4 linked regions of the Arabidopsis thaliana genome follow. The main gene of each other region encodes a partner of the protein of the gene in region 4 in a complex. Each region holds a gene or a part of one and is shown on either strand. Other genes may lie near its edges. The genes, in order: TRIP-1, TIF3B1, EIF3C and TIF3H1.

Evidence for each region.
Region 1: TIF3H1 (region 4) and TRIP-1 share a complex: the UniProt entries of both Arabidopsis thaliana proteins name them as parts of the eukaryotic translation initiation factor 3 (eIF-3) complex.
Region 2: TIF3H1 (region 4) and TIF3B1 share a complex: the UniProt entries of both Arabidopsis thaliana proteins name them as parts of the eukaryotic translation initiation factor 3 (eIF-3) complex.
Region 3: TIF3H1 (region 4) and EIF3C share a complex: the UniProt entries of both Arabidopsis thaliana proteins name them as parts of the eukaryotic translation initiation factor 3 (eIF-3) complex.

Annotation. Positions count from the first base shown.
Region 1 is NC_003071.7:19,001,337-19,007,919, reverse strand, and holds TRIP-1 (TGF-beta receptor interacting protein 1), read left to right. Parts: upstream 1-2,187; 5' UTR 2,188-2,412; exon of another isoform or gene 2,413-2,498; 5' UTR 2,499-2,526; coding exon 2,527-2,710; intron 2,711-2,858; coding exon 2,859-3,074; intron 3,075-3,169; coding exon 3,170-3,303; intron 3,304-3,400; coding exon 3,401-3,520; intron 3,521-3,630; coding exon 3,631-3,720; coding exon of another isoform or gene 3,721-3,741; exon of another isoform or gene 3,742-3,813; coding exon 3,814-3,900; intron 3,901-4,000; coding exon 4,001-4,080; intron 4,081-4,188; coding exon 4,189-4,264; 3' UTR 4,265-4,762; downstream 4,763-6,583. Other genes in the region: AT2G46290 (Transducin/WD40 repeat-like superfamily protein), read left to right, coding at 123-167, 271-490, 626-841, 938-1,071, 1,172-1,291, 1,394-1,483, 1,579-1,665, 1,753-1,832 and 1 more; GBF3 (G-box binding factor 3), read right to left, coding at 5,019-5,198, 5,284-5,409, 5,521-5,598, 5,690-5,865, 5,952-6,000, 6,089-6,295, 6,380-6,421, 6,509-6,583. UniProt on the Arabidopsis thaliana protein: Component of the eukaryotic translation initiation factor 3 (eIF-3) complex, which is involved in protein synthesis of a specialized repertoire of mRNAs and, together with other initiation factors, stimulates binding of mRNA and methionyl-tRNAi to the 40S ribosome.
Region 2 is NC_003076.8:9,779,652-9,787,915, forward strand, and holds TIF3B1 (translation initiation factor 3B1), read right to left. Parts: upstream 5,638-8,264; 5' UTR 5,540-5,637; intron 5,525-5,539; exon of another isoform or gene 5,133-5,524; 5' UTR 5,109-5,132; coding exon 4,999-5,108; intron 4,749-4,998; coding exon 4,511-4,748; intron 4,414-4,510; coding exon 4,189-4,413; intron 3,916-4,188; coding exon 3,787-3,915; intron 3,612-3,786; coding exon 3,483-3,611; intron 3,396-3,482; coding exon 3,312-3,395; intron 3,241-3,311; coding exon 3,116-3,240; intron 3,010-3,115; coding exon 2,811-3,009; intron 2,705-2,810; coding exon 2,172-2,704; intron 2,086-2,171; coding exon 1,977-2,085; intron 1,892-1,976; coding exon 1,556-1,891; 3' UTR 1,359-1,555; downstream 1-1,358. Other genes in the region: ACBP5 (acyl-CoA binding protein 5), read left to right, coding at 68-253, 357-503, 748-807, 950-1,129; AT5G27650 (Tudor/PWWP/MBT superfamily protein), read left to right, coding at 5,860-7,009, 7,375-8,264. UniProt on the Arabidopsis thaliana protein: RNA-binding component of the eukaryotic translation initiation factor 3 (eIF-3) complex, which is involved in protein synthesis of a specialized repertoire of mRNAs and, together with other initiation factors, stimulates binding of mRNA and methionyl-tRNAi to the 40S ribosome.
Region 3 is NC_003074.8:20,831,580-20,839,504, reverse strand, and holds EIF3C (eukaryotic translation initiation factor 3C), read left to right. Parts: upstream 1-2,229; 5' UTR 2,230-2,440; intron 2,441-2,630; exon of another isoform or gene 2,631-2,653; 5' UTR 2,654-2,684; coding exon 2,685-2,708; intron 2,709-2,796; coding exon 2,797-4,551; intron 4,552-4,791; coding exon 4,792-5,715; 3' UTR 5,716-6,095; downstream 6,096-7,925. Other genes in the region: AT3G56160 (Sodium Bile acid symporter family), read left to right, coding at 17-130, 450-471, 656-723, 1,111-1,196, 1,318-1,438, 1,514-1,615, 1,695-1,772; AT3G56140 (DUF399 family protein, putative (DUF399 and DUF3411)), read right to left, coding at 6,836-6,985, 7,112-7,225, 7,358-7,906. UniProt on the Arabidopsis thaliana protein: Component of the eukaryotic translation initiation factor 3 (eIF-3) complex, which is involved in protein synthesis of a specialized repertoire of mRNAs and, together with other initiation factors, stimulates binding of mRNA and methionyl-tRNAi to the 40S ribosome.
Region 4 is NC_003070.9:3,606,245-3,613,444, forward strand, and holds TIF3H1 (translation initiation factor 3 subunit H1), read right to left. Parts: upstream 4,373-7,200; 5' UTR 4,056-4,372; coding exon 4,046-4,055; exon of another isoform or gene 3,930-4,045; coding exon 3,850-3,929; intron 3,684-3,849; coding exon 3,567-3,683; intron 3,468-3,566; coding exon 3,364-3,467; intron 3,278-3,363; coding exon 3,211-3,277; intron 2,938-3,210; coding exon 2,804-2,937; intron 2,719-2,803; coding exon 2,670-2,718; intron 2,534-2,669; coding exon 2,462-2,533; intron 2,372-2,461; coding exon 2,270-2,371; intron 2,185-2,269; coding exon 2,117-2,184; intron 1,932-2,116; coding exon 1,779-1,931; intron 1,699-1,778; coding exon 1,641-1,698; 3' UTR 1,387-1,640; downstream 1-1,386. Other genes in the region: Z-ISO (15-cis-zeta-carotene isomerase), read right to left, coding at 257-466, 571-717, 795-1,205; AT1G10850 (Leucine-rich repeat protein kinase family protein), read left to right, coding at 5,984-7,200. UniProt on the Arabidopsis thaliana protein: Component of the eukaryotic translation initiation factor 3 (eIF-3) complex, which is involved in protein synthesis of a specialized repertoire of mRNAs and, together with other initiation factors, stimulates binding of mRNA and methionyl-tRNAi to the 40S ribosome.

The sequences.
Region 1 (6,583 bases), on a different chromosome or scaffold from region 4:
ATTCGGAGTTATTTACCAATGGTACGCTCACCGGTTTAACGATTCACCACTTAAAGCCCTCAAAATCTCAGAGAACGCTCGCTGATCAAATCCGTCGTCCTTCAACCGTCGCCTCCTCCGTCATGACAATTGAGTGCGTTAATCCCGAAGGTCTTCGATTCAACCAAGTATGTGCACATATCTCTTCCTCCGTTTGGTCATGTACTTGTTTCCGATTAATGTATTATCTTTTGTTCTTTCTATTGAATTGATTTCGTATCTGTTTGCAAGATGAAAAGCTCCTCTCATCAAACCCTAGAAACGAGGATGAGGCCGATTTTGATGAAGGGACATGAACGTCCATTGACGTTCCTGAGGTACAACAGAAATGGTGATCTGCTTTTCTCCTGCGCCAAAGACCACACTCCCACAGTCTGGTTTGCCGATAACGGCGAGCGTCTTGGCACTTACCGTGGCCACAGTGGTGCTGTTTGGTGCTGTGATATCTCCAGTAAGTGGTCTCAGCCTCTCAAATTCAAATAGTATATAGTGGATGGAATGGATTCAGTTTAGGATTTAAGTCGTTGTCTTTGTTGTTTTAGTCTTTCATAGCTTAACGATTAGTGTTTTGTTTGTGATTTCTTAGGAGACTCGTCTAGATTGATCACTGGTAGTGCTGATCAGACTGCAAAGCTGTGGGATGTGAAATCTGGCAAAGAATTGTTCACTTTCAAGTTTGGTGCCCCTGCAAGGTCTGTGGATTTCTCTGTTGGTGATCATCTTGCAGTGATTACCACTGATCACTTCGTGGGAACTTCCTCTGCTATTCATGTCAAACGCATTGCAGAAGATCCCGAAGACCGTAAGTTGTCAATTCTAAGTTAAAATCTACTTATGTTTTTTAGCCTATGTCTTTTTTGTATGGGTAAAAGGAATTGATTTAATGTAATTGATGTAGAGGTTGGTGATTCTGTGCTTGTCCTTCAAAGTCCTGATGGAAAGAAGAAGATCAATAGAGCTGTTTGGGGTCCCCTGAACCAAACCATTGTTAGTGGTGGTGAAGATGCTGCTATCAGAATCTGGGATGCAGAGGTATTTCAACTTTCTTAAGGCCTTTCTTTTGTCTATCAATATCTCTCTTTTTTTTTTTATTAGCTTAAACCTTATGTGGTGCTACTGCCATTGTTACTAGACTGGAAAATTGCTTAAGCAATCAGATGAGGAAGTGGGTCACAAGGAGGCCATTACATCCCTCTGCAAAGCAGCTGATGACTCTCACTTCCTTACAGGTTCACATGACAAAACTGCAAAGGCATGTGCTTCTTTCTTTTACTTGTTTCAAAAATATGCTCTATACATATTACATATAGAGATAAATCATCTAATAGAGTGTTCTTTTTGTTGATTCTTTCAGCTTTGGGACATGAGAACGCTGACTCTTATTAAGACTTACACCACTGTGGTGCCTGTAAATGCTGTCGCCATGTCTCCACTTCTCAACCATGTATGCACTAATGCTTCTTGAAATTCAAATTCGGTTCCCAAAAGCAACAAGTCTTGATGTTATCTTTGTGAATGTTTCTGCTCTCGCTCTTTTAGGTTGTGCTTGGAGGTGGTCAAGATGCATCAGCTGTGACTACCACTGATCATCGTGCTGGGAAGTTTGAAGCTAAGTTTTACGACACGGTTAGTGTTGCAGTAAAACAGTTTTATTTAAAAACTTGTAACCTGGAAAGAGATATGTAACTGTGTATTTGGTCTTATAATATATAGATTCTGCAAGAGGAAATTGGTGGCGTGAAAGGTCATTTTGGACCTATTAATGCTTTGGCATTCAGTCCTGATGGGAAGAGGTAAACTAACAAAATTTGATTTTGATTGATTGATACAATCCTCAGTTGATGAGAGTGTTTTTTAGGCTTTGTTGCTGAGTGTTTTTTGGAATGTATTTTCAGTTTCTCTAGTGGAGGTGAAGACGGCTACGTGAGACTGCATCATTTTGACTCCAATTACTTCAACATCAAGATTTAGATTCTTTGAACATGTCTTTCCATTTTTTCATCATTCCACATAATATTTTCTCTCTTTTTAACATTTTCAGAATTGATGTACTACCAAATTACCAATATACTACTTTGATGATAAAGCTTGTTGTTTGTCTTTTCAAATAGACATATGCACCCACAAAAAAAAAACGTATGAAACTGCTTTTGAGAAAGGAAAAAAACAAAATAGGCGCAACGGGCGAGGTTCGAACTCATCAAATAGGGAAGAAGCTAAAAACGCTGAAGCCACTGAGCTTTGCTAAACTGTGGCATCTCGAGTAATTTAAAAAATTACAAAAGGGTAAAAGTGTCAAAAGAGAGGACAAAGTTGATTTCCTAGGGTTTTTGCACTTCTTCCTCGTCGTCTCTCTCGTCTTCAAGTGAACAGGTGAAGAAGAAAGCCGTTTTCCGTAATCGTTTCTTCAATTATTTTTCTTGTCTTTTGATTGATTCGATTTCGTATCTGTTTCAAAGATTCGCATCAAACCCTAAGAAACTGAAGATGAGGCCGATCCTGATGAAGGGACATGAACGTCCATTGACGTTTCTGAGGTACAACAGAGAAGGAGATCTGCTTTTCTCCTGCGCCAAGGACCACACACCCACCCTCTGGTTTGCCGATAACGGCGAGCGCCTTGGAACTTACCGTGGTCACAACGGTGCTGTTTGGTGCTGTGATGTCTCCCGTAAGTTTCTCAATTTCTCTTCAAATAGTATCGAGTCGATGATTAGATTCATTGTTTCCCCTTAGCTACAAGCTTGTTTAGGGTTTATAGTATCGAGTGAATTCTGTCGTCTTAGTCTTTCAAAGCTGAATGTTTAGTGATTTCTTAGGAGACTCGTCAAGATTGATCACTGGTAGTGCTGATCAGACTGCAAAGCTGTGGGATGTAAAATCTGGAAAAGAATTGTTCACTTTCAAGTTTAATGCCCCTACGAGGTCTGTGGATTTCGCTGTTGGAGATCGTCTTGCAGTGATTACCACTGATCACTTCGTGGACCGTACCGCTGCTATTCATGTGAAGCGTATTGCGGAAGATCCTGAGGAACGTAAGTTGTACATTCCTAGCTGAATTACTACTTACGTTTTAGCCAACTTCTTGTATGTGTTAAAAGGAAATTGTTTGTTTGATGCAATTGTGTAGAGGATGCTGAGTCTGTGCTTGTCCTTCATTGTCCTGATGGAAAGAAGAGGATCAATAGAGCTGTTTGGGGTCCCCTGAACCAAACTATTGTTAGTGGTGGTGAAGATAAAGTTATCAGAATCTGGGATGCCGAGGTATTTCAATTTTTCTTAAGGCCTTACTTGTGTATTAATTTCTCTCTTTTAAGGTTATGAACTAAACCTTATGTGGTGCTACTGCCATTGTTACTAGACGGGAAAATTGCTCAAGCAATCAGATGAGGAAGTGGGTCACAAGAAGGACATTACATCGCTCTGCAAAGCAGCTGATGACTCTCACTTCCTTACAGGTTCACTTGACAAAACTGCAAAGGCATGTGCTTCTTTCTTTTACTTGTACAGTATATCTTGTTTCAAATTTTTGCACTATACATATAGATATAAATCATCTAATAGAGTGTTCTCTTTTGTTGATTGTTTCAGCTTTGGGACATGAGAACGCTGACTCTTCTTAAGACTTACACCACTGTGGTGCCCGTAAATGCTGTCTCCCTGTCTCCACTTCTCAACCATGTATGCACTAATGCTTCATGAAATTCAATTTCGAATCCCAGAATCAGCAAGGCATGATGTTATCTTTGTGAATGTTTCTGCTCTCTCTTTTAGGTTGTACTTGGAGGTGGTCAAGATGCATCAGCTGTGACTACCACTGATCATCGTGCTGGAAAGTTTGAAGCTAAGTTTTACGACAAGGTTAGTGTTTATAATAAGAGTGTTTTACTTGGAAACATGTAACCTGGAAAATACACATATTTAAATAACCGTGTATCATTGTGTTTGGTATAATATATAGATTCTGCAAGAGGAAATTGGTGGTGTGAAAGGTCATTTTGGACCTATAAATGCTTTGGCATTCAATCCTGATGGGAAGAGGTAAATTAACAACATTTGGATTTTGATTGATTGACACAATCCTCACATGATGAGGTTTTGAGTGTGTGTTTTGGCTCTCTCACTGAGTTTGTGGAATGTATATTTCAGTTTCTCTAGTGGAGGTGAAGACGGTTACGTGAGGCTGCATCATTTTGACTCCGACTACTTCAACATCAAGATTTAGATTCCGACTACTTGAACGTCAACCTTTTAGAATCTTTGAAAAAGTCTCCCATTCCGGATTTTGTTTTCTCTCTCTTTTAACATTTTCATGTTTTTATTTACTACCAATACAAATACCTTGATGATAAAGCTTTTGAATTTTGACAGAATCTTTAGTTTTCATTTCCAGAGTTCTCAGTACAAGTTAATTAACCTGCTCTATGTGTGAGCGAGCATTAATATTCAGCTTTTATAAAATAAACTCGGTTGTAGAAAAGAATGCCTTGTGTGATTGACAGTCCTCAAGAGTAGCGAAGAAAATCACCCAAAGACAGACTCATAATGTTTGTGATATTCGTGATGATTATTGGATCTATAAATTTTCGGAGAGAGATGTATGAAACCTGAAAAGAAAGATCCTTTATGCATGAAACCTTGACAAAAGAAACAAAAGCTTACGCAAAGCAATAACACCGATTTCATAAAATTACATCAGGTCTAAAACAAGGAAATGCAACAAAGGAAGCCATTTTATAAAAAAAGAAAAGCCTCTCTATATTAACAGTAACAAACCATAACACCAAATTTTCATCTGGAGGAAAAGTTTCTCTTTCTCCCTCTCTCTCTCCGAAAATTTATAGATCAATAATCATCACACCTCTCTCTCTCTCTCTCTCTCTACTATACTATCTATCAAGTTTTTCTGAAATTAGTAGCACTTATTTTCTTTGTTTATGTCGACAAATTAAGTAGAAATCGACATGAATTACCATCGATCAGCCTGCAGCTACTGCTTTAGCTCGAGGCTTCGTATCGAGCAGTTGATGCAATTTGCTTGTAGAGTTAGAATCATTGTCTCCTTGGTTCTTGTTCTTATCTCCAGCTCCTGAGTTCTTAACTCTAGACAACATATTTGCGGGGACTCTCTTTTCGGGTTCCGAGCATTTCAGTTTGTCCTGCAACCCAAAAAGAACCGGCCATGTTCAAGAAAATGACACGCCTTCATAAAGATAATTTGTTGGTTAATGATAGCTTACTTACCAACAAGGTTGCATTTGCTCCTCTTAGTTTATCAGATTTCTCATTAAGTTGGTTTAGTTCAGATCTTAATGCCATGTTTTCGGCTGTCAAGGCTTCCACTTTCCTAGCAAGTTCTTCTGTCTCGGCCTTCAAAACAAGGAAAGACAGTTTGTTAGTTTATTAAATGTTTTGGTGAGAGTTACACACTAAGAGAAAGAATTTCTAAAGAGCTTCAGTGTATTCTTTCAGTAACCAAACCTGTTTCCTTAATCTTGACCTTCTAGCAGATTCTCTATTAGACTGTTTCCTTCGCTCCCGTTTCAGTTCTCTCTCGTTCTGAAGACAAAATTTAATACTTGGTCAGGGAAACGGATCAGATTAGCTCGAAAATCCAACAAGTGGAAGTTGAGAATAAGTCACAGGGTACCTGAAGCCAAGTTTCAGGAGGAACCATGGCTAAAGATTGTGACATGAAGGGGTTGGAATTTGCACTTACACCAGGAGAGAGTATAGCTCCAGATCCTTGAATGAGTTTTACGCCGGTATCACCACTTGACGGAGAAACAGAATGAAATGAGCTAGCTTGAACCAATTGTTTCCCATCTGCCAAAAAAACCGAATTAAAACTCCCATTATATCTAATATTTACACTGATTCTAACTCTTTGGGACATGAATAAGGCTATATACCTTTTGTTGGAGTTCCCTCTCGACTTCTTTTAAGTTTCGGTTCATCTGCCTGGAAACATGCAATAAGTGAGGTTCTAGACTTTAGACAATCATATGAAAACTAAAGATAGCTGAGAGTAAGAGAAGAGAAACATTACCCCAGTTGTATTCCCATCACTTCCATCAGTAGAACCATCAGTTTCTGAGCTGTTCCGTGATCGTTTATGTTCATCTGCACCATTTTCAGGATTCCCATTTCCTAGAGACATAGCAAGCCCATCAAACTCTTTCAGCTTCTTCATCAATCCATTGTCTGTGTTCCCTGTAGATTTAGTAGGAGTGTCGATGCTCAAAAGCGTCCCCGGCTGCGATAAAGAAGAACTATCCATTAAACAGCGAACAAAACCATTTCTCAATCTTTGATGTATCAAACTAGGTATACAACTTACAGTTGTTAAAGGTGGATCCTTTTGACCTTGAGGCAGTGATCCCTGTCCACAGAAACTCAAAGCCAAGTCAGATAAACGATCACGGAGGATTCAACTACGAGATGTTTGAGGAACAGAATTACTATATACCATGGGAATACCGGGATGAGCGTAAACTCCTCCTCCATGAGGATAAACAGCAGCATAGGGTGCTCCATATGGTGA
Region 2 (8,264 bases), on a different chromosome or scaffold from region 4:
ACAGCTAAATACATTTTTTCCTGATTTGGTTTAAAACTTGGTTATTGATTCTGTTGTGGCTAATCAGGTGAATGTTCTTAAACCAAGCCACAAATCAAGCTTGAAATCCAAGATTATGGGAGCTTCTGCTGTGCCAGATAGTTTTTCCGCTGTTAATAACGCCACGACTAGAGATATTGAGTCTGAGATCAAGGTGAGCCAAGAAGGCAAAGTAAGGGAAATTGTCATGGATAATGTTAACTCCAGATTAAAGGTGTCTTCCCGTCAGTTTAAACGCTGTGAATATCAAATTAGACTAGATAATCACAATGCATCTCTTATTTTTCTCCTTTGTATTCTGGATATTAAATCCTCAGGTTGAAGGAAAAGCCGACCGCATTATCACAACCCTTAAATCCGAAAAAGAAGAAGTGGAGGCATCACTCAACAAGGAAAAGATACAAACTCTCCAACTAAAGGAAGAGTTAGCAGAGATAGACACACGAAATACAGAGTTATACAAGGTAACCGTACTATTTACCTTCATGAATCTGTCTTGCCTTTGATCTCGCTTTTACCAGAACGAATAGCCAACAGAACACAATCATGTAGTTGGTTTTCTGAAAATTGGTTCTTGTTCAGTCTTGAAATTTAGTATTTTGGAAAAATTCAATAAACCGTGGAAATGACTAATAAGCAAGACAAATGAGTTGAGAATTTCTTGGAGATTCTTTTGTTGTATCAACATTTTTGGTATTCCATCTATAGGAACTTCAATCTGTGCGGAACCAACTTGCAGCGGAACAATCAAGGTGTTTCAAACTAGAGGTAGGTATTTACACCTTTTACTAAGAAAGTCATTTTGTTTCACTTTTATAGTAAGTCTGGGTTGATATTTGAATCTCGATGGTGAAACATTCCTCTCCGATGTTGACCAAATCCTAACAAAACTCGGTCTAAGTGCCCGCAGGTTGAAGTTGCAGAGCTAAGACAAAAGCTTCAGACAATGGAAACACTTCAAAAGGAACTCGAACTCCTCCAACGTCAAAGAGCCGTTGCGTCTGAACAAGCCGCCACCATGAACGCCAAACGACAAAGCTCTGGTGGCGTCTGGGGTTGGCTCGCTGGAACTCCTCCGCCTAAAACATGAGTGCCCATGAAACTTTTTTTCGGGTAACTCTTTTTTGTCATTACCAATATCAGTATTTACTTTTAGAAAGAAAGAAAAAGAGAGAAATACAGTATAGACAATTTTTAGCGTCTCCGCATTGTTACTAGTGAAAATAAGGTCTATAGTTGTTTCTACTACAGTATGATTGATGAGTTGCCATTTGAAGATTCAGTTTCTATATAAGCTCTACCGATTTGTGTGTAATTATGTTACACTACAAGCTATATTGTATTGGTAATTTTTCTACCATTTAGTACCATTACATGTGATAAGCACCATACTTCATCAACTAACAACGAAATTTTCAATCATGAAGGAACCAAAAATTATCTTCCAAGTATAGCGAACACGATTTAAAATTGTCTAAGGGATCCAAAGAGATGGCAACAAAAGAGACCGAGTATCTTACGACTCTTGAACGATTTCCTCAGTGACATCGATAAGATCCTCAAACTCAACTTCTTTGGCTTCATATTCATCTTCTTCCACATCACTTACTTCACCATCCCGAAGGTTTTGCCTCACGAGTTTCTCCTCTTCATGCAGAGACTTCCACTGCATTACCCATTTCTCCCATTCTTCCTTCAATGCCTTTCTCTTCTCTCTGTCTTGTTCACTCAACAGCAACGACACGTCCTGATCCTCTGCCTCATACTTCTTGCTGTACTTCTTCAGGGTCTTTGCTATCTCTTCTTCCTTCTCTGCAGTCAAGAATGATGGAGGTCTTGGACGCCAAGCCAACTGTGTAACCAACCATACACAAATATTTTATTAGACATCGGAATGGACGATGCTCGTTTAAGACCGAGTTTTTCTTGTTACATACCTGGAAGAAATGATCCTTCAATATCCGGTAAAGCATAATCCCGTTGAAAGACCATATGGTGAACCCATTCTCCATCTCATGGACTGATGTCACTGCGGTTGCAACGTACCTTTGAAAATAAAAAAGTGCAAACAACATCAGCAATTGGAACAAATAGAAACAACCAAAGGACTGGTTTAGTTAAGACAGTAGGACCTTCCAGTCGGGTCCCATTCGATATCCGTGGCCATGAAGTGTTCAGCTGTGGCCATTGTCTCGAGCTCATCCACGTTGAAAAATTCAAGCTGGCCATTGAAACCTTTTAACCCAGCAAGAATTATGTACTTGCCTGTGGGCGACCAGAAGAGGGCATTAGCTTGTTTGGCCTTCAAAGTTGCGAGCTTTGAAACCCTTCCAGTGTTTTGTGCGGTCTTCATTGAGTAGAAACTGACATCTGGTCTTGGTTGGTCACCATGAATCACAGCAAACCTGTGACCCTTGGGCTCCCATGCAAAAGCAATGATCTTGTCGTTCTTGTTGTCCAGCTCAAGAACCTCGATGGGAATATCCCTTTCTTTGATACGGAAAAGTTCAAATCCAGAGTATGTGCTCTTCTTAGTTTTTGTGTATCGATCAACCTTGACAGCAAGATACTCTCCACTACTCTGCCAGTACATCTTGCAGTCGCTCACACTGAAGAGATTCTTCTGCCTCAGCTCCACCTTGCTCGGGATTTGGACTAGGGCAACCTGAAGAAGGGATATCAACATGTAATTTCAAAACACCAGGCAGAGAAACAGAAGCAAATTAAGGATTCAGAGCTTTTCATGTACATCAGAAATAATAGAAACATACCTTCGCAGGTTGGTTTCCACCACCTTGTTCAGGAACAAACAATGAAAGGATGGAATCAGTAGGAGACCAGCAGATATCCACAACATTATCTACCTTCATGGATTTCTTGTCTATTAGGCTGAAAGTCTCAGTCTCATAGACAGAGATAGTGTTTTTGCTAAGCTTGGCAAAGTATTTATCATCTTTTCCACCAGCCCATCTGTAGAAAAAGTTTACAAGATATCAACATATGTCCATAATAGTGGAGAAGATGATAATATTGGCTGTTTATTTTTAGGACATTGACATGCAGTTGAAAGAATTACCTGAAAACAGGCCAAGAGGCACCAGCAACACCACCAGGTCCTCCAATTGAAAACTCATCAGCACTACCCTTGAAATCTCTCATCATCCTCCCGGTTCTCACATCAAAAACCTTAATCTCAACTTTCTGAAAGTTTGACAGAATTCAGCGTCACAAATAGTAAAAGTTGAAAAGAACAGAAGAAAAGATGCACTCACACTTGCATCTCGCGGGTTGCTTGGTTCTTGGCTATGGTAAGTTACAAGATATTTCTCACCTGGCGAGAAATCAACTAGTTTTACCTAAAACATAATCAACAAAAGATGCAATTTTCAGGCCAACAGAGGAAAAACGGAAGTAATATGTAGCAATTGAAAGGAAATTCAAACCATAGAATGCTGATAACGCATGAGACGCGTGAATGTATCAGCACCACCCCAAACAGCTGCCCCCTGCTTGTGGAGTGTCACAAGGTATGTACCTAAAGGAGACCACTGCACATAACTCTCTGTCCAATACTGCATAGGAAGAGAACATCATTAATTCAAATGAAGGTAACATAACATATAAAAGTGCTCTAAACAGTCAAGTAAACAAATAAGGGATATTAATTCAAATGAAGGTAACATAACATATACATTGCTCTAAACAGTCAAGTAAACAAAAGGGATATACACACAGGAAGTAACTTACAGGACGCTTATGAACAGGTTCAGGCGCCTTCTGCCTAGTATCATTCCAGAAAACTTCAGTATCAGGGCCAGAACGAATGACTAGCTGGTCTCGGGCTTTTTCATCAGTAAGCCATTTTTGCAAATTTTCCTGAAAAAACAAACACCATATAAGTAACGACAATTAGCACCACAAAAGGCTGCAATGAATTAAAATATATACATGAAACAAGAGTTATGAAATTATAGTTATTAGTTAGTATACATCAATTACGTAAAAAGATCCTAACCCTAACGCAGCAGGCAAACACAAAATAAATCAGCGAATTACCAAAATAAAGAAGTGATTACACAGACACAATGGAAGTTATTCAAAGAAAATTATTCAAGGTACAGGGAGTAACATGATGAAAACTACACATACCCCAGGGACGTAGGGCCTGGCCTGAGGAGGCTCCCACTCCTCCTTCACATTCATCAACCTGTCAAAATCATCGAACATGTTTACAGCAAAGATGTGAGACTTGTCCAACTTGTAGCCATGAGACTTTTCCTTAGCGTTTTGTGCTTCCTGCAAAGAGCCCCAGACATTGAGAGAAACTCTTAGGAAATACTCAACCATTAAGAACAACCTAGTTTGGGCTCCTTTCTAACAAGAGAAATAAAGTATTGAAACATATGACGCCGACATTATTGCTTCAGAATCCAACAAAACAGAGATTAAGCTAATCAAGTAGATAAATAACCTGAGGAGTGTTGAACTCAATAAAACAGTAGCCCAATGTCATCTTGGTATCGGGATCAACAGGCATCCACAGTCCATTTTCCTTAATCACACCTAACTGGTTGTAAATTTTCTTGACAACACCTTCAAGTTTCTCAAACTTCTCCTTGGGAACAACAGGGAGGTGATCGACCACGATAATGTTACCGAATCCAGTGTCGAATTCAGACTGGTCATCCTGGTAAACAGCTTCATCATCACTACAACCATCACAGAAAAAAAAAGTGTATAACGAATCAGTTCCATTTTTCATACGTTCATAGATAAAATGTATAAATATAATAAGCTTTGCACCATCAAGGAAAGAGATAAACCAATTCGAAATACACAAAATTTTCATACATACAATAGCAAAACCTAGAATAAAATCATCCCATCGTATAAACACAAGAAGATTAGAAATAGAAGTGACCGTATATGAACAACCAGAGATCTAAAGGAAAATCTCACCTCTCGATCCCAAAGTCTTCTCCAGGAGGAAGTTGGATGGAATCAAAATTAACCTGAGACCAATCAATCCCTAACTTAGCAGCTCGGGCATCAATATCAACGACCTCCATGATTTCAAACCTTATATCAAAAATCTGCCAAAGAAAGCCATATAGAGAGAGCTATCAGTCTTTAACACATTCCAACTTTAAGTCGATAAATAAATGTGAAAAATCTGAGTCTTTAGATCTAAAAGTAGGTTTTTTGTTAACCCTAAACAAGTATTAAAACAACAAACTACCATGGCCAAATGTTCAAAGACTAAAACTTTGAATCATCACTCCCACTATAATGTAAATCTAAAACCATGCCTATAGAAATTATTAACTATACTCTAGTTTTATTTAATCTAGAACCCAACAACAGGTGAAATGGAGAAAAATGGCAAAATTTTCCTGAAGGCTCTCTTATATCTATTGCATCGTTCTGGATCCTGTCTCATAGCTACATAAGAAAAGACAAAAAAAACAAATGAACACTGAAATCGAGATAAGAAACGTACCCAATACAGAGATCAGCCGAGAGCAAAAAACAAAGAAGAAGACGGCGCTTGAAGGTGAGGAAGAAGGAGCGATTGTTTTCAGGTCTTTTTGGATCATACGACGTCGGTTCCTTAAACGGGCTTATAAATATTTATATGGGCCGGGTAAGCCCAATTCAATAGTAATCAGTAGATCTAATTTATTGTCTTTCTCTCGATTAGCTTTTTTTTTTTTTTAACAATAATCCGTCTCTTTCATTTGGTGTCCTCGAGAACCAAATTCGGATAATCTCTCATCGGAGGATCGTTGTTGTTGTTGCTAGGGTTCTTATCGATTTGTAATGTACAAAACTAAATTAATCCCGGTGATGAACGAGGATGCTGTGATTGTTCAACAAACGGATTCGATTCAGGATCCTAAGGTAACTCCAGATGATACTGTAGTTGATTCGAGCGGGGATGTTCACGAAGCCATTGATGATGATGTTGAAGCTTCTTCACCTATGGAGCTAGATTCGGCGGTTACAAATGACGCTAGGGTTCTCGAAAGTGAGAGATCGGAGAAAGATGGTGTCGTAGGGAGTGAGGAGGAAGATGAGATTAAAAGCGAGGATGTTTTAATTGATAAGGATGATGAGAGTTCTGAGGTTAAAGAAGAAGAAGAAGAAGAAGATGGCTCTGATGATCAATCTAGTGAGCTTGGTTCTGAAGCTGATGAGAAGGAATTAGATTTGGGTTTGAAGGAAGAGAAAAAAGGAGTTTCGGATTATAAATCTCTTTTATCTGAGTTTGATGATTATGTTGCAAGTGAGAAAATGGGTTCTGGAGTTTCGAGGGCATTGAGTTATGGGTTTGAAGTTGGAGATTTGGTTTGGGGAAAGGTAAAGTCTCATCCTTGGTGGCCTGGTCATATATTCAATGAAGCTTTTGCGTCTCCTTCTGTTCGTCGTATGAGGAGGATTGATCATGTTCTTGTTGCGTTTTTCGGTGATAGTAGTTATGGTTGGTTTGATCCTGCTGAGCTTATTCCTTTCGAACCGAATTTAGAGGAGAAATCACAGCAGACGGTTTCGAAGCATTTTGTGAGAGCTGTGGAGGAAGCCAAGGATGAGGCGAGTAGAAGGTCAGCTCTTGGTTTGACTTGTAAATGTCGGAATCCTTATAACTTTAGGCCTAGTAATGTGGAAGATTACTTTGCTGTTGATGTGCCTGATTACGAGCTTCAAGCCGTTTACTCTGTTGATCAGATTAAGAATTCTAGGGATAAGTTTTTACCCGCTGAAACCATTTCGTTTGTGAAGCAATTGGCGTTAGCACCTCAAGAGTGTGATCCAGACAGTTTAAAGTTTATGAAGAAGAAAGCAGTGGTTTTTGCTTTCCGCAAGTCAGTGTTTGAGGAGTTTGATGAAACTTATGCACAGGCCTTTGGGACAAAATCACCCCGCAGTTCAGTGAGTACGCTGGAACCTCATAATAGAGCACCGCCTCGAGGTATTAGCCACTTTTCAGAAAATCATGTTATTGTTTGTATATGGGTTTTTTCGTTGTAGACTTGAAACAGCTTTCATATGTGTTACATAGATATTAGATACTGTAACTTGGTTTTAGGGTTTTACTTTTAGATCCTCTGTGCTCATGATTTTAGGATTTATATCTTTGTAGTTGAATTCTTTACATAGCATGCTTGAAAGAATAGTGAAGTCTCATTGATGCTAAACTGTGCATTCGAAAACGTGGCCTGATAACAATTCTGCGCCTCTTTCTACTATGGAGAGTCCCGCATACATTTACCTTGTTTGCTTTATTGTTCATTTTCTTGGTGGGTGATGTGTTGTTTCAATTTCTCTTATTTCCAGCTCCCTTGAGTGGCCCACTGGTCATAGCAGAAACGCTAGGTGACCTTAAGAGCTCTAAAAAACCCACAAAGGTTAAGGTCTCTAAAAAAAAAGACAAGTATCTTCTCAAACGAAGGGATGAAGCTGGTGATAAGTCTGTTCAGTTTGGCGAAATTGAAGCAAGTTCAGAAGCTTCTCATATCCAGGGAATTGATGGATCTTTGGATGGGGATTTTGGGCTGCAGAGAAGAGCTCCGACGCTTCAAACTCCAATGAAAGATGAGAAGTCTGGGATCGTCAGCATGGATTTTGCCTCTTCAAATACAGCTATTCCTGGTAAAGAATTTTCAGCTTCAAAGCCCTCTCTTGATGAAGAAAAGGGTCTAGCTGAAAAATCAAAGGAGAGAATGGAAGAAAGAGCTGCTGTACTTCCAGAGCATGGGAAATCTGAAGCTATGGCGAGTCTTAAACCTAAAGAAGAAGCTGGAACAGATCTTGGATCAGCTGGAAGTTCTCTCCAGCCTCTGCTTGAGTCTCATACCTCAGCATCTGAGGGGAAAAGTTCCACAGGGTCTGTAATCAAGAAAGTCAAAGTTGCTAAACGATCTTCAAGTGAAATGAGCTCGGAGAATCCTCCTTCAGAGCCAAAAAAGAAAAAGAAAAAGAAGAAAGAGCCTGATTCTGACCATCCAGTGAAGAGAAAAAATTTGTATTCTGGGGAAGCTGGGGCCAAGAAATTGTCCCAGCTTGGTTCAGCGCATTTACAAACCTATATGGAAGCCGATGTGCCGCAGCTGTTGAGCCATCTGCAAGATCTCTCTCTTGACCCTTTCCACGGTTTATCCGTTGCTTCTTTTGGAACTGCTAGGAAATTTTTTCTCCGTTTCCGTTCACTTAATTACCAGAAAAGC
Region 3 (7,925 bases), on a different chromosome or scaffold from region 4:
TTTGACCTCTAATCAGATTCCATTTTGGGTATCAAGATACATAGCTGGGGGAGTAGGGGTTTCGTTTCCTACTGACCAACTATTCAGAAGTCTTATAGTTACTCTGTTAATTCCTTTAATCATTGGCAAGGTGAGACAATCTTTCTGTTTGTCCTGTTCTTGCAATGATGAATCAATATAAATTCTGATATACGGTACAATTGTGAAAGCTAAATTTGCAGAGGTGGTTGTTGCCAAAAGATATGTGAATACTTTATTGGAAATTATAATAGGGTTGTTGCGTGGCTCATTTGAAAATGAAGAAAGCTTACTCTCTATTATTTGTTACTTTCCCTGATGTTTATATGAACCTTTCACAAACAGTCATTTCAGCATGAAGTTCTATCACTTGCCATTTTGCACACGTTTTTAAAATCGAGCTTTGACATACTTGGTTTCTTCTGTTATAGGTTATTCGAGAATCATTCAAAGGTGAGCGCCATTTGTTATATTTTACTTCTCTGGTGAAAGTAATTGAATACATACCATTTTAAATAGTTAGCAGTCACTTTATCGTGACAATGGATCAAAATGGTTCTGTTTATAATAAATATATATGCTTATCGCTGCCTACTTTCTGACCTTGTTGAAACTCTTGTTGAAATGTGTGATACAGGTTTCGCAAACTTTGTTGACAATAACCGTAAACTCTTTTCGAAAATCAACGCAATCTGCCTCAGTTTGGTAAGATATGAAATGTTAGTCTCCCGTAATTTCTACACCCCTTGAATAACTTTCTGAAGTCATATCCTTGGAGTTTTGCTTTGTTGCAGGAATCTTAAACTTGGCATTTTAGATGCCTGTACTTAAAACTTTCTCTTTTCTTGTATGATAGCTTGGGATTTCAACATTCCGTGGCATTGATGTGCCAATCCAAAGCTTTTACTAAATTGCAAAAACCATATTTGCAGTCACGGTTATGACTTTGGAGATAGAAGGACTTAATACTTTTTTCCTTTTTATAGTTTAACCTCTGCTTCCCTGGCTACTTCAACTGGTCTGACTTTGTTATTGCATTTACCTGGTTATTTTGGGAACTTAATAGTGTTTATTCCATGATTAATATTCTAGGTGCCATGGATCCAAGTGAGCAGGTCAAGATCACTGCTACTATCCGTTCAACCTAAGGTTTTCCTTGCAGCAGTTGGCATTGGAATGTACGCATTCTTCTTTTAACATATAGAAAAGATACCAAGTGAAGAAGCTCATGGAAATATTTGGCTTGTGTGTTAGAAATGCGGATTACGTTTGACAGAAGATTCTTACGTCTTCTTACAGATTGCTGCATCTTTCTCTACTAGCATTCAATGCTGTTTCAATCCGCATCCTCTCCGGTCTTACAGGTGGTAGCAAGAGCTCCAAGGAAAACAGCACTGCAGTTTTGCTCGTTTCAAGCCAGGTAATAATAGAGTTTGCCTTTTAGAACCGATTTTGATCTCTTAAATTTGGGAGTTCTTTTCTTGTGGTGGCATAGAAAACATTACCGGTAATGGTGGCGGTAGTAGAGCAATTAGGAGGTGCATTTGGTGAGACAGGGCTATTGGTTCTTCCTTGTGTAGCTGCACACCTGAACCAGGTTACAAATTGTATTATAATCATCATGTACTTGTGTGCATAATTTTATAAATTATTGACGTAAATCTGGAATGTTACAGATCATGATTGATTCAGTTCTTGTCAACTTATGGCTCCGGAGAGGAAAAGATACTTCGACTAAAGTAAAGACAGCTTGAGAGAGAGAGAGAGAGATAGAAAGCAATGAAACCAATGCTGTGGAGAAGGTTACATCCTAAACACACTGAATGTCAGTTATATACATAGCAGCAAGACTGGGGATTTTGATATCTTTCCAATCACCAAAGCTTAGTTGATCATTGACCATCTCTCTCTCTCTCTCTCTTTCTGTATGTATATGCTCTAGAGATTCCGGTCGGTGTTTGCTGATCCAATTTGTATGATTTATGAAACTATGTAAAAAAAAAACTTGTATCTATATTTGAAAACATTTAGTCATTTGACGTTACCAGCGTACAAAGCAATTCATATGTAATCTGTCTGATAAGCAGCTAGGAAAGAGGACTAAGAACCGGTTCTTTTCTCAATTTAATTGAACTAACCATCACTACAATTTCATTTAGTCCTGGTTCGACCAATTCGGTTTGTAAATAAAATAAAAACCGATCGAGAGCGTTTTAATTGTCCTCGGTTTTCAGTTTCGGTATGGAAATAGAATCAAATCGAATCCGGTTTAGTGAGTAAATCACGAAACCCTAATTCTATATATTTTTTCATCTCGACCAAAATGCTTGGACGGCTACACACCATTTTTGTTTAGATTCGTAATCCTCCTCAAGCATCTCCTTCGCAAATCTCCATCTCCATCTCCATCTTCTGAATTCAGGTAATTTTGTTCCTCATCATCTAGCGTAACAAATTTTCGATTCTAGTTTGGTGTAGATTGATTCGAATCGATTCTAATTCTTTGTTGATACGAGTCTGTATCTGTGACACGATTGTTTCGTTCAGATTATGTTCTTCGAATGGATTGGTTTGTTTTACTTATAATTTCGTTCCTCTGATTCACTATTCAGATTTGTTACTTTTGGTGTATCAGGTTCTTGTTGCTTACGCTTCCAGCTAAAAAGATGACGTCTCGTTTTTTCACTCAGGTTTCCTTCAACAGACCTCTTGTTTATAAACTCTCTTTACCTTTACTTGCTTCAGTTTCTGAATGATTTTTACTTGTTATGTTGATAGGTTGGAAGTGAAAGTGAAGATGAAAGTGATTATGAGGTAGAGGTTAATGAGGTTCAGAATGATGACGTCAATAACCGTTACCTTCAAAGTGGTAGTGAGGATGATGATGATACTGATACGAAACGTGTGGTTAAGCCTGCTAAGGATAAACGTTTTGAGGAGATGACCTACACTGTTGATCAGATGAAGAATGCTATGAAGATCAATGATTGGGTCAGCCTTCAAGAAAACTTTGATAAGGTTAACAAACAGCTTGAGAAGGTTATGAGGATTACTGAGGCTGTGAAGCCTCCTACCTTGTATATCAAGACGCTTGTTATGTTGGAGGATTTCTTGAATGAAGCTCTTGCCAATAAGGAAGCCAAGAAGAAGATGAGTACTAGTAACTCCAAGGCTTTGAACTCAATGAAACAGAAATTGAAGAAGAACAATAAGTTGTACGAAGACGATATCAACAAGTATCGTGAGGCTCCAGAAGTTGAGGAAGAGAAACAACCTGAAGATGATGATGATGATGACGATGATGATGATGAGGTTGAAGATGATGATGATTCTTCCATCGACGGACCTACCGTAGATCCTGGGTCCGATGTGGATGAACCTACTGATAATCTCACTTGGGAGAAGATGCTGAGCAAAAAAGATAAGCTTTTGGAGAAGCTAATGAATAAAGATCCTAAAGAGATCACTTGGGACTGGGTCAACAAGAAGTTCAAGGAAATTGTGGCTGCTCGTGGAAAAAAGGGCACTGCTCGATTTGAGCTAGTTGATCAGCTTACGCACTTGACAAAGATTGCCAAGACTCCTGCACAGAAGCTTGAAATCTTGTTTAGCGTTATTTCGGCTCAGTTTGATGTGAATCCAGGTCTCAGCGGGCACATGCCTATCAATGTCTGGAAGAAATGCGTGCTTAACATGCTCACCATACTGGACATTCTCGTCAAGTACAGTAACATTGTTGTGGATGACACAGTTGAGCCTGATGAGAACGAAACTTCAAAGCCAACAGATTATGATGGAAAAATTCGGGTCTGGGGAAATTTGGTTGCATTCTTGGAGAGGGTTGACACTGAGTTTTTCAAGAGTTTGCAATGCATTGATCCTCACACCCGTGAGTATGTTGAGAGGCTAAGGGATGAGCCCATGTTCTTGGCCCTTGCTCAGAACATCCAGGACTACTTTGAGCGGATGGGTGATTTTAAAGCTGCTGCAAAGGTAGCCTTAAGACGTGTTGAGGCAATATACTACAAGCCCCAGGAAGTTTATGATGCAATGAGGAAATTGGCTGAGTTGGTGGAAGAAGAAGAAGAAACTGAGGAGGCCAAAGAGGAAAGTGGACCTCCTACTTCATTTATTGTTGTTCCGGAGGTTGTTCCCCGTAAGCCTACCTTCCCAGAGAGCAGCCGAGCTATGATGGATATTCTTGTGTCCCTTATCTACAGAAATGGAGATGAGCGGACCAAAGCGCGTGCGATGCTATGTGATATCAATCACCATGCTTTAATGGACAACTTTGTGACTGCTAGAGACCTGTTGCTGATGAGTCATCTGCAAGACAACATCCAGCACATGGACATCTCAACACAGATTCTCTTTAACAGGACCATGGCGCAGCTTGGTCTTTGCGCCTTCCGGGCTGGAATGATCACTGAGTCCCATAGCTGCCTTTCCGAGCTGTACTCTGGTCAAAGAGTGAGAGAGTTGCTTGCCCAAGGTGTCTCGCAAAGCCGATACCATGAGAAAACCCCGGAGCAGGTAACTAGTTATCTTCTGTTTTTAGATTTAATACAGATAGGATTGAAAAAAAATTGTTTGACCAGATAGTTCTGATTGAGACATGATTACAAACACTGTTGCATTTTTGGGTTCTTCATTTTGTTTCATTTCACACAATCCATTTTCTCTATTTCAACATGGATGCTTATGGTTATGTTTTTCGTTCAGTTTATTTATATGTGATATAAAACTTTCTTGGTTTATTTCTTGATTTACCAGGAAAGGATGGAAAGGAGAAGACAAATGCCGTACCACATGCACTTAAACCTTGAGCTTCTGGAGGCAGTTCATCTCATCTGTGCCATGCTTCTTGAAGTCCCAAACATGGCTGCAAACTCGCACGATGCCAAACGCAGAGTGATTAGCAAGAATTTCCGCCGCCTGCTCGAGATCAGTGAAAGGCAAGCATTCACTGCACCGCCTGAGAATGTACGTGACCATGTCATGGCAGCCACCAGAGCCCTGACCAAAGGAGATTTCCAGAAGGCGTTTGAAGTTTTGAACTCTCTTGAGGTCTGGAGGCTGCTCAAGAACCGTGACAGCATCCTTGACATGGTGAAGGATAGGATCAAAGAAGAGGCTCTAAGGACTTACCTATTCACATACTCAAGCTCTTATGAGTCCTTGAGTCTTGATCAGCTGGCCAAAATGTTTGACGTCTCTGAGCCGCAGGTCCACAGCATTGTGAGTAAGATGATGATTAATGAGGAACTGCATGCAAGCTGGGATCAGCCAACACGATGCATCGTCTTCCATGAAGTGCAACACAGCAGATTACAATCATTGGCTTTCCAGTTAACGGAGAAACTCTCGATTTTGGCAGAAAGCAATGAGAGGGCAATGGAATCTAGAACCGGTGGAGGTGGTCTGGATCTGAGTTCAAGGAGAAGGGACAACAATCAGGACTATGCAGGAGCAGCATCAGGTGGTGGTGGATATTGGCAAGACAAGGCGAATTACGGACAAGGAAGACAAGGCAACAGATCAGGTTATGGTGGAGGAAGATCATCTGGACAAAATGGTCAGTGGTCAGGGCAGAACCGAGGAGGAGGGTATGCAGGAAGAGTTGGTTCAGGAAACAGAGGTATGCAGATGGATGGCTCAAGCCGTATGGTGAGTCTTAACCGAGGTGTTCGTACTTAAAGAGGATGAGGAGAAATCTGCAGTGTTGACCTTAGTCTCAACCTTTTGTTATGTTTTGGATTCCTTTTGGTTATCAAATGGTTCTTTCTAAGAGATGTTCATCACATTTTCTCGCATTGTGATTGTTTATTTTCTTTGTGATATTGGCAGTTGTTGGAAAAGACTTTTAAGAATGCTTTACTGGAAAGTTTAATAAGTTTTTTTTTATGCGTCATTCTTGTTGAAAAGAAGAAGGCTTAGGTTTTTTCTCGTATGCTTGCAGGTCTGTTTTTGTTGATGTCTTTTACTCTTTCATCTTTGTTTGCTTAGTAACTTCCTCTCGATGAAGTGTTTGATTAATTTCTTATCAAGAACATCTGTGATTTAATCGGCTACTTTCGTGGAGCTAGCGACAATGAATATTGTTGAGAAAATTCTTTTTTTTTTTTGGAACTCTTATCTTATTATAACTCATGTTGTATGGCAAACACAGATACAAAAAAGAAACACAAGCTTGTCGTAGTAAGTACTAAGTAGTAACTAGTACAAGTGACATGGTTGCATTTGCCAAAGCCGGATAAAGATGCTGAAGAAGTATCCGGTGGAGTGAAAGGCTCTTCTGCTGCACTTAAAAGGATAATAATGCTGTGGACTTGCGGCTCAGAGACGTCAAACATTTTGGCCAGCTGATCAAGACTGGAGGACTCATAAGAGCCGGATAAAGATTCTCTCAGCAATCTTCACATCACTCATATTGTTAGTTATTGTCACTCTCTCTCTACTCTATGTTGAATCTGCACAATTAATGTTGATGATTTAAATGTCCTTTTTCTTTGCTTACATACCAAATAGAATTTCTGAACCACAACTTATTGCCAGCTGAGATACCATCTCCTTCTCCCGTGCAAAAGTATTTGTCAACTAGAAAAATGATTGCTTAAGTACGAAGAACGATAAATAGAGAAACAATCAATGTGAGTTTAAGACAACAAATTTATATTGAAACCATCACTATTTGCCAAGCACATGTACGAACATACAACTTAAGAAATGTGAAATTATTATATGCTAATTTCTACGATCTAAAGCTTATATGGCAAACAACTATTAATTGATAACTAGTGGGGTAGCCTCACCAGTATCATTGATTATTGAGCTTATCGATACTTTCCTCTTCAGTAGTAGTATCGCATTCCACTGTCGGTTCTTCCAAAGCCTCTGAAATTTCTTTAGAGGCTGGGATGCTTTTCTGAGTTTGCAGACCCGTAGAGCGTGCAAGATCGATCCATTGCTGCAACATTTTTATCAAAAGTTGGGATCAAATCAAATAGTACTGTACTTCAAAAATAAGAATTTAGGAGAAAAGGAAATAAAGATGTAGAAAATGAAACCAAATATTCAGGCTTGTAACTCTGACCTGCGTTCCGAAATATGAGTTTAGGGTCCTGACAACAAATGAAATAGCATTTACAAGTAGAGGTTGCGAAGAAAGCTCATCAGATAGGCGATGCTCTATTAATCCCGCAATTATCTGCATTTAAAGACACTTTGACATTAGATGCATATATCAAATCATAATGTCTTTAATCAACACTCTTCCTTAGCCAAGACGTCGCGGTAACATACACATACCATCACTGTCAAGCAGCATGGATCATCATACCTGGTAACGAAGATTTGCAGATGTTCCCAGAAAACCTCCGTAAACCATTGCCGTCTTCAGAAGAGGAGACCTCTTAGGTTTCTCAGCCACAACCAGCTCGGGTTTAATGACCTTTCGTGCTATATTCAATGCATTTGAAGCTCCCACAGCTGCAAAACTGGAAACAACTCCAACACCAGCAAGCTTCAAGCCACCAACAATAACTGAAGCAATTCTAAGATTCAGGTTCCACTCTCTTCCAGCAAGACTTTTTTGAAATGCGTTATCAGGTATGGATCCTAGGAGGCCTCTCAGGGCGTCTATGCTGTCTGGTCCAGTGGTCTCATCAGCATATGAAAGAAAAGACAAAGTTGGTGCAGGAAGCCAAACTGTGAAAAAATCAACGACTGATCCTCTCACTGTATCAGTTATAACATAGTCAATTTCTTCAAAGAAATTCTCTTTTCGCTTCTCATATTGTGCTATTAGTGTAGTTGTTATTGATATAGCTTCTTCGATGGCTAACCTATTCAGGAATTTTGGATCTGCCAACAACCTTTCTCGGAAACCCTGTATCACAATTACACAG
Region 4 (7,200 bases):
AGCAATATCAAGTAAAGTAATCAAGCATTGATGTAATAAACATAGAAGGATGAGGAGATTTGATTGTGCTGATGTAATGGGTGTATTTAAGTCAATGGCCAATACCTGCCCATAATTGATTCAATGATTGGGGGTCTCATTAACACAGCCACTAATAAACCTTGGCTCATAAAAATCCAATCTTTCTGTATTTTTGAAACACAAAAATGAAGGAAATTGTCTTCATGTTTAGGCACATTAGGGAAATGTTCAAAACCTGAGGATGTCGAGTGATTCTCATGATGCCGGTCTCCCAGAGATGCATCTTCGGTTTGTCAACAGCTGCTACCTCCAGAAGATTGAAGGTTGAAGGATAGAGAAAGAAGAAGGATACAAAATTAGCGACCCAAATAGCTTCATGGACTCCAGGAACACCCTGAAGCTGCCATAACTGTGACCCATCATATCTATGGTTTATAAAGTAAACCTGAAAGAAGAACAAGGCATTGCATAGACCATAAGAGACATCAAACAGGTATTTATACCATTGATCAGGAGAAAAATTGCAGAGTTAGAAGAGAGAGTACTCACAATGGTGCTCATAGCTAAAGGAAGAGAGATTCCAGCAAACAAAACACGAAATGCTCGTTCACCTATAAGTTTCTCTCCTATATCCCTTAGACTAGCTAAACCACTATGTACAATTGCAAATATAAGGATAAGCATTAACATAGCAACCTGCAAAAACAAGTGGTTTTTAACAATCAAATAACTGAAATTGAAACTGGTTCAGTTACTGTTAAATTGATCTATACCTCCGGTGAGCCGGAGATGTTAGAGACGGCGTCGATGAATGATTTTCCGAAACCGGTGGAATTATCGATCCAAACAACATTGAGGATAAAGAGAACAACTCCAAGGACAACACCGAAATAAACCCAGGAAACAAGCTTCTGTTTCCCTAATTCAAAAGCAGCAGAATCTTCACCGATCAGTAGAGTAGGACTACTCTCGGAGTCAGAGGCGATGGGTTGGTCTTCCCGGAGAGTGCTACGAACCAGAATTTTCCGAATTACCGGTGACGAAGAAGAAAGCAAGCTGGTCGAGTTTCCGAGGCGAGGATGAGCTGGGATACGGCGGATTAAGGTGAGGTTAGGGCGGCGAGGAGAAGGAGGGAGAAGAAGAAGCGAAGGTGGGCTCGAGAGAAGGAGATGATAAACCGCCATTGTTCTTGTTGGTAAACAATCTTTCGAAGAGGAAGTAATAAAAAGATGTCGTTTTTAAATTTCTTCAAACAATCGTCCGAAGAAGAAATAATAAACGTTGTCGTTCAAGGGATTTAGCGATGGAACTAACACTACAACTATAATAAAATCTCTATAAATTAGATTTTTTACTCTTTTGATTAGGATTTTGATAACTATGTATAATTTGTTGTAAGGCAATCAGAGGTCCAATACAAGATAAATCTTTCAAAACTTCAATAATTTTTCATTATGCATAAGAATAAAGATTTTTTTTGAAAAGCTTGTAAATTAAATTACTTCACAACAACAAAAATAAAAACAAAAACATCCACGAAAAACAAATATAGGATCCATTCTACCACCAAGTCTTTCACTTTCTGACTCAAAAAACAAAAACTTGGGTAGTCTTTGCAATCAGTTGTCGTGCAATGCTTTGGTCAGGTAAAGCCTGCTGAAGTTCTGGCCAGCCACTCTGCATAACAACAGGTCGACTCATTTTAAGTATCTTTCAAAGCTCCAAAAATGGTGAAACAATACTAAAGAGGAACATACCCATTGATTTGGCCACAGAAGTTTGAGACTTGGTTTGTGATGAGGAAACTCTCTAGCCTAGATGGTTCAGGGATCGCCTTAAAGATTGGGTTTGAAGGATCCTCTTCTGGTAAAGGCTCCTCTCCAGCTGATTTACGAGCCATGTTCTCCGTTCTATAAACCAAACACCTCTTTCATTAGTTGGAAGATCAAAAGGACAAGGAAAAGCTGAAGACAAATGTTACAAGGCATTCACAACTCTCGTAAGTAAAGTTGTATCACCTTCCAAGATAACGAGGTAGTGAAACTAATCAAACCTGAACTAGAACAAAAAGGTTCTGCAGAAAATATAAACCTACCTTCTCTTCTGGAGCCAGGCTTGCTGTTGTGCTTGCTGACGAGACAGGTTCCGGTAGTAATACTGGAACTGGAGAAATAAATTAAGATTTTGCGTTAAGATAGTTCGGACTTCTGATGATGAGAATTGAACAAGAGTGCAGAAGAAACCACACCTTTTGCTGTTCCATAGATAAATCATCCATGCATTTAATCAAAAACTCCATATTGTTCTCAAGGAAAGGAGTGGTTGATGAGTGTAGACGATCATAATCGCCCTAGAAAGGCGAAAATACAGAAGTATCAAGAGTCAAAATCTGCAATGCTGACAGCAAGCAAGGATCACTATCCAGATAGTAGTATTGTACCTGTGAGACAGGTGTATCAGTCTCCAGTTCGGTCATAAAGGCACTGACAAGGGCAGAATTTGAAACCTTGATCTGTCAAAGGAAAAGTAACAAACATTTAAACCACTTTTTTTGTCAGAGGAAAATATAATTAGGTAACAATTCCAACCTAGTGACTTGAAAAGATTAGCTGGTAAGAATTCAATATAGAAGAAAGCTAGAGACTTACAGGTATTTCCTCAAAAATATCCATCCAGGAGAAATTTTTCTCTCTCAACCTGAAAAAGATAGTGATTAAAACGTTACAACTATCATCCTAAGTGGCTCATAAAACCTAGATTTTCAATGGATCAAGATACATACTTCTCGCCAGTAAAGTTTCCACCTCGGTACAACTCCATAAAGGAATCTGAAAGCTTCAAAGCCTTCAAAGCTAAGACGCCTAGATCAGCTTTAGAGGGATCATATATGATGCACACACACCTCTTGATATTCTCCTGTAGATGCAGAAGAATCATTTCTTAAGAGTTCATATCATGATTCTGCAAGGGATTGTAACAGAGTTGCGGACAAAAAAAGTCTCAGAAAATATATTCATGATCCAATTTACATTCAACTTTTACACATGCCAATATACCTATCATACACTAGAGTAGCCATGCTATACATATAAATTTCCAGCTGAATGAAGAGCATAACATATGAACAGACCAAATCTAGAATGTTATAATGACATGGTAGACAGGATTCTTTAACAAAAAAAAAAGTACCTGGTAATTCATGAAGGTCTCAATCAGTTCCACAGTCTGATACGAACCAAGAACTGTAGATTGATACCTGAACAAAGAATTAGGCAGATCTAAATACATTCACAAGAAAAAATTTAACAAGTGAACTCAGACTGATGTCATTAAAAAACCTACCAGCCAACAGTGTTGTTGTCAACATTAACCTCCCTCAGACATCTCATCATCTCAAGCTGATAATTAGCACCATCAGCTTCAATTTCTTCATCATCATCCCTGACCTGTCCTCGTTTAAGATACAAATTCCAGTAAATCACATGTACATCAATCATGAACAAGCTCTTAAATCCTCACAATGCGTGTAAAATTCATCAACATACCGGGAAAGGAAAACAATTGGTAACTTCGAGGACGCTACCAACATCAAGTCCAAGAAGCTGTCCAGTGACAAGGGTCGGTGAAAACTCCTTGCAGTGTTTGATTATCTTTAGTACAGCCTATCACAATAGCAAACAAAATTCTCAGCATCACAACTTCCTACCAAATGATAATGGGCAAATTAGCTTCACCTAGAGAGTTTTTATTTATCAAACACCATCGGTCAGCAGAAAACGAGGAAAAACACTTAAAACCGTAAAATCAGGGAACACTAAGAAACGTTACCAGTCCTTCGATCTGAACAACTCTAAGCGGAGGAGCCACCGCCTCATCCTTCGATATCGCCTGCAGAAACGACCTAGCCACTGCAGAAATAAACCACGGAAGAAACTTAGCACGACATATACAGAAATCGTCAATAAACAGATGCAAATATTAATTCTATGTCCTAGTGAAGAACAGAGAGGATGATTATACTGACTGGTTGCCATTGAAATAGTCTCCGGTGATAGTGAAAGCTTCCTAGGTCAAAGAACTTGAATCTCCGCCGTGAAACCCTAACGATGTGATATTTTTACTGCCGGCGGCGGAGATGAGTAAGAGAAAGAACTTTATGTGTTTGATAGGGCTTCTCGAGGATCCGCAGATTTTTTTTTCCCTTCAATTTGGGTGTAGAGAGGAAAAAAAAAAAGCGTTTCGCAGTTAAAATTGCAAAAGAGCCCTAAAATTTGAGATTCTTATAGAATGATCCCTAAATGTTTTCCGACCTATAATAAGGATGGACCCAGCCCATGGACCTATAATGCTATTCTCTTGTAAAAGGCCAGGACCATAATATTCCTCAAAATATTGAACATTTAATTTAATAGCATGGGCCCATTACACTAACCAACTAGTCAAAACTTAGTAAGAAAAAACAAACAGTCATGGAGTCAACTAGAATCCAAAACTTTTAGAAACTTTCCCTCCAAATTCCATCCGGTATTAGGGTTTAATCGAAAAAGAGGACTAATTCAAAGTCTAATCTTTAGTAACCAACTTTAAAAAGTCTATAAGACATGGTCATTTCATAAGTCCGTAAGAAAATCAACAATGTCCTAAATAAACGGCAAAAACTAGAGAATCACCACTGGTATCAAAAAACGTAAAACCAAATATATAAAACGTATTAAATGTACTATAGTTTATTACTCGAAAGTCGAAAACCTTGATGATTCATTGAAGGTCAAAGAAGTCAACAATAATATTGATGCCAAATTAAATGACTGCAGTCTCTTTGCGAGGTTGGTGTTTGGACTGGTGGACCGCTGGTTAATAATTAACTCAGCCTTTACGTGAACTCAATTCTCACCTCTTCTTTATTACATTTTCATCACGCTTAAGCTAAGCAACTAATAAATTCCTAATTTAATAAACACTTCAACATCCTCGTTTTAGAGATTGAATACCAACCATGAATGTTAACACATCTTTAACTTTCCTCTCAAACAAAAATCCAACAATCTATATCCTCATTGTATAAATAACATGAGGTCCATATTAAAATACGATTAAAAATATTATAAAAACCATGTGAAGATTCAACAAGAAAAAGAGGTAGGAAAAAAAAGCAGCTCAATAATTGGTAGAGAGTGCAAAGAGGAACCAGACACCAACTGAATAAAATTGAAAAACAATGTCTCTCCTTACTTTAAATAAATCATCCCTAAAATTAATTATTCCCACCATATTTCTTCTGCTCCATACCACACTTCACCATAAAATCTCTATATAAATTTTCTCAGCAGCAGTAACTACCTTGGCCCCAAAACCTATCTGTCTCTGAATCTTGGCAAAGTAATAGCAACCATAACAATAACGACAAAAATATACGTGAATTATTTTTCTCTTTCTCCTTCGTCTCTCCTTCATAAACCCATTATTAATTTTTTTTATAATACTACTATTATTCATGAATGCATTGAAGATGTCACAGTGAGAACAAAAAAAAAGTTTTCCAGGCATGGCTTCACGTGATGACATCTTCCTCGACCAAGAACTTCGAGAAAAGATACTCAGAAAGTGAAGTGAGAGAGAGAGAAAATGCCGGGGAATTTTAATGCTTCTTCTTCTCTTCTTAGTGCTCACTACCAGAAGATTTCTTTCCGCCATTAAAGAGCAGAGTAGAGCAGAGCTCTCACTTTCTTCTTCTTCTTCTTCATTTTTTACCTTTCCCTTTTTTGCTTCGATCGAGATGCTTTAGCATAATGGGGCAGATCTGGAAAGTGACTTAATAATAGAAAGTGATGGCTTTGAGGAGATTCATGGGATGCTTTTTATGGAAACTCGATTTCGAACTGTATCAATCATTTCTGTTTCTTTTATGAGCTGAGGAAAAGAGCCACTCTTTCTGATTTGATTGATTCATCATTCATCGACAATGGCTTCTTCTTCTTCTTCTTCGTCTTCGAGTACGGTGTCGTTCGTAGTCTTTGCATTTACAGTCTTCTTCTGTTTGGTTACTCCGGCGAGATCTAGCGACGTCGAAGCTTTACTAAGCTTGAAATCTTCAATCGATCCATCTAATTCGATTTCTTGGAGAGGAACAGATCTCTGCAACTGGCAAGGTGTTAGAGAATGTATGAATGGAAGAGTCTCCAAGCTTGTTCTTGAGTACTTGAATCTCACCGGCTCACTTAACGAGAAGAGTTTGAACCAGTTGGATCAACTTAGGGTTCTTAGTTTCAAAGCTAACTCTCTCTCCGGTTCAATCCCTAACCTCTCCGGTTTGGTTAACCTCAAATCGGTTTATCTTAACGATAACAACTTCTCCGGCGACTTCCCGGAGTCTCTCACGTCTCTTCACCGATTGAAAACTATTTTCCTCTCCGGAAACAGACTGTCCGGTCGAATCCCTAGCTCGTTGCTTCGTCTCTCTCGTCTTTACACGCTCAATGTTGAGGACAATCTCTTCACTGGTTCGATTCCTCCTCTTAACCAGACAAGTCTCAGATACTTCAATGTATCCAACAATAAGCTCTCTGGTCAAATTCCACTGACACGAGCTTTGAAGCAGTTTGATGAGTCATCGTTTACCGGAAACGTCGCTCTTTGCGGCGATCAGATTGGAAGTCCATGCGGAATCTCACCTGCGCCGTCTGCGAAACCAACGCCTATACCTAAGTCTAAGAAGAGCAAAGCGAAGCTGATCGGGATTATCGCCGGAAGCGTTGCCGGCGGAGTACTAGTCCTTATCTTGCTATTGACGTTGCTTATCGTCTGCTGGCGACGGAAGCGGCGGAACCAGGCACCGAGGGAAGATAGAAAAGGTAAAGGAATAGCGGAAGCAGAAGGAGCAACAACTGCAGAGACAGAGAGAGACATTGAGAGGAAAGACAGAGGATTCTCATGGGAAAGAGGCGAAGAAGGTGCAGTGGGAACTCTGGTTTTCCTTGGAACCAGTGATTCAGGCGAGACGGTAGTGAGATACACCATGGAAGATCTGCTAAAAGCTTCGGCAGAGACATTGGGAAGAGGAACGTTGGGGAGCACGTACAAGGCTGTGATGGAGTCTGGGTTCATTGTCACTGTGAAGAGGCTCAAGAACGCAAGGTATCCTCGCATGGAGGAGTTCAAGAGACATGTTGAGATCCTTGG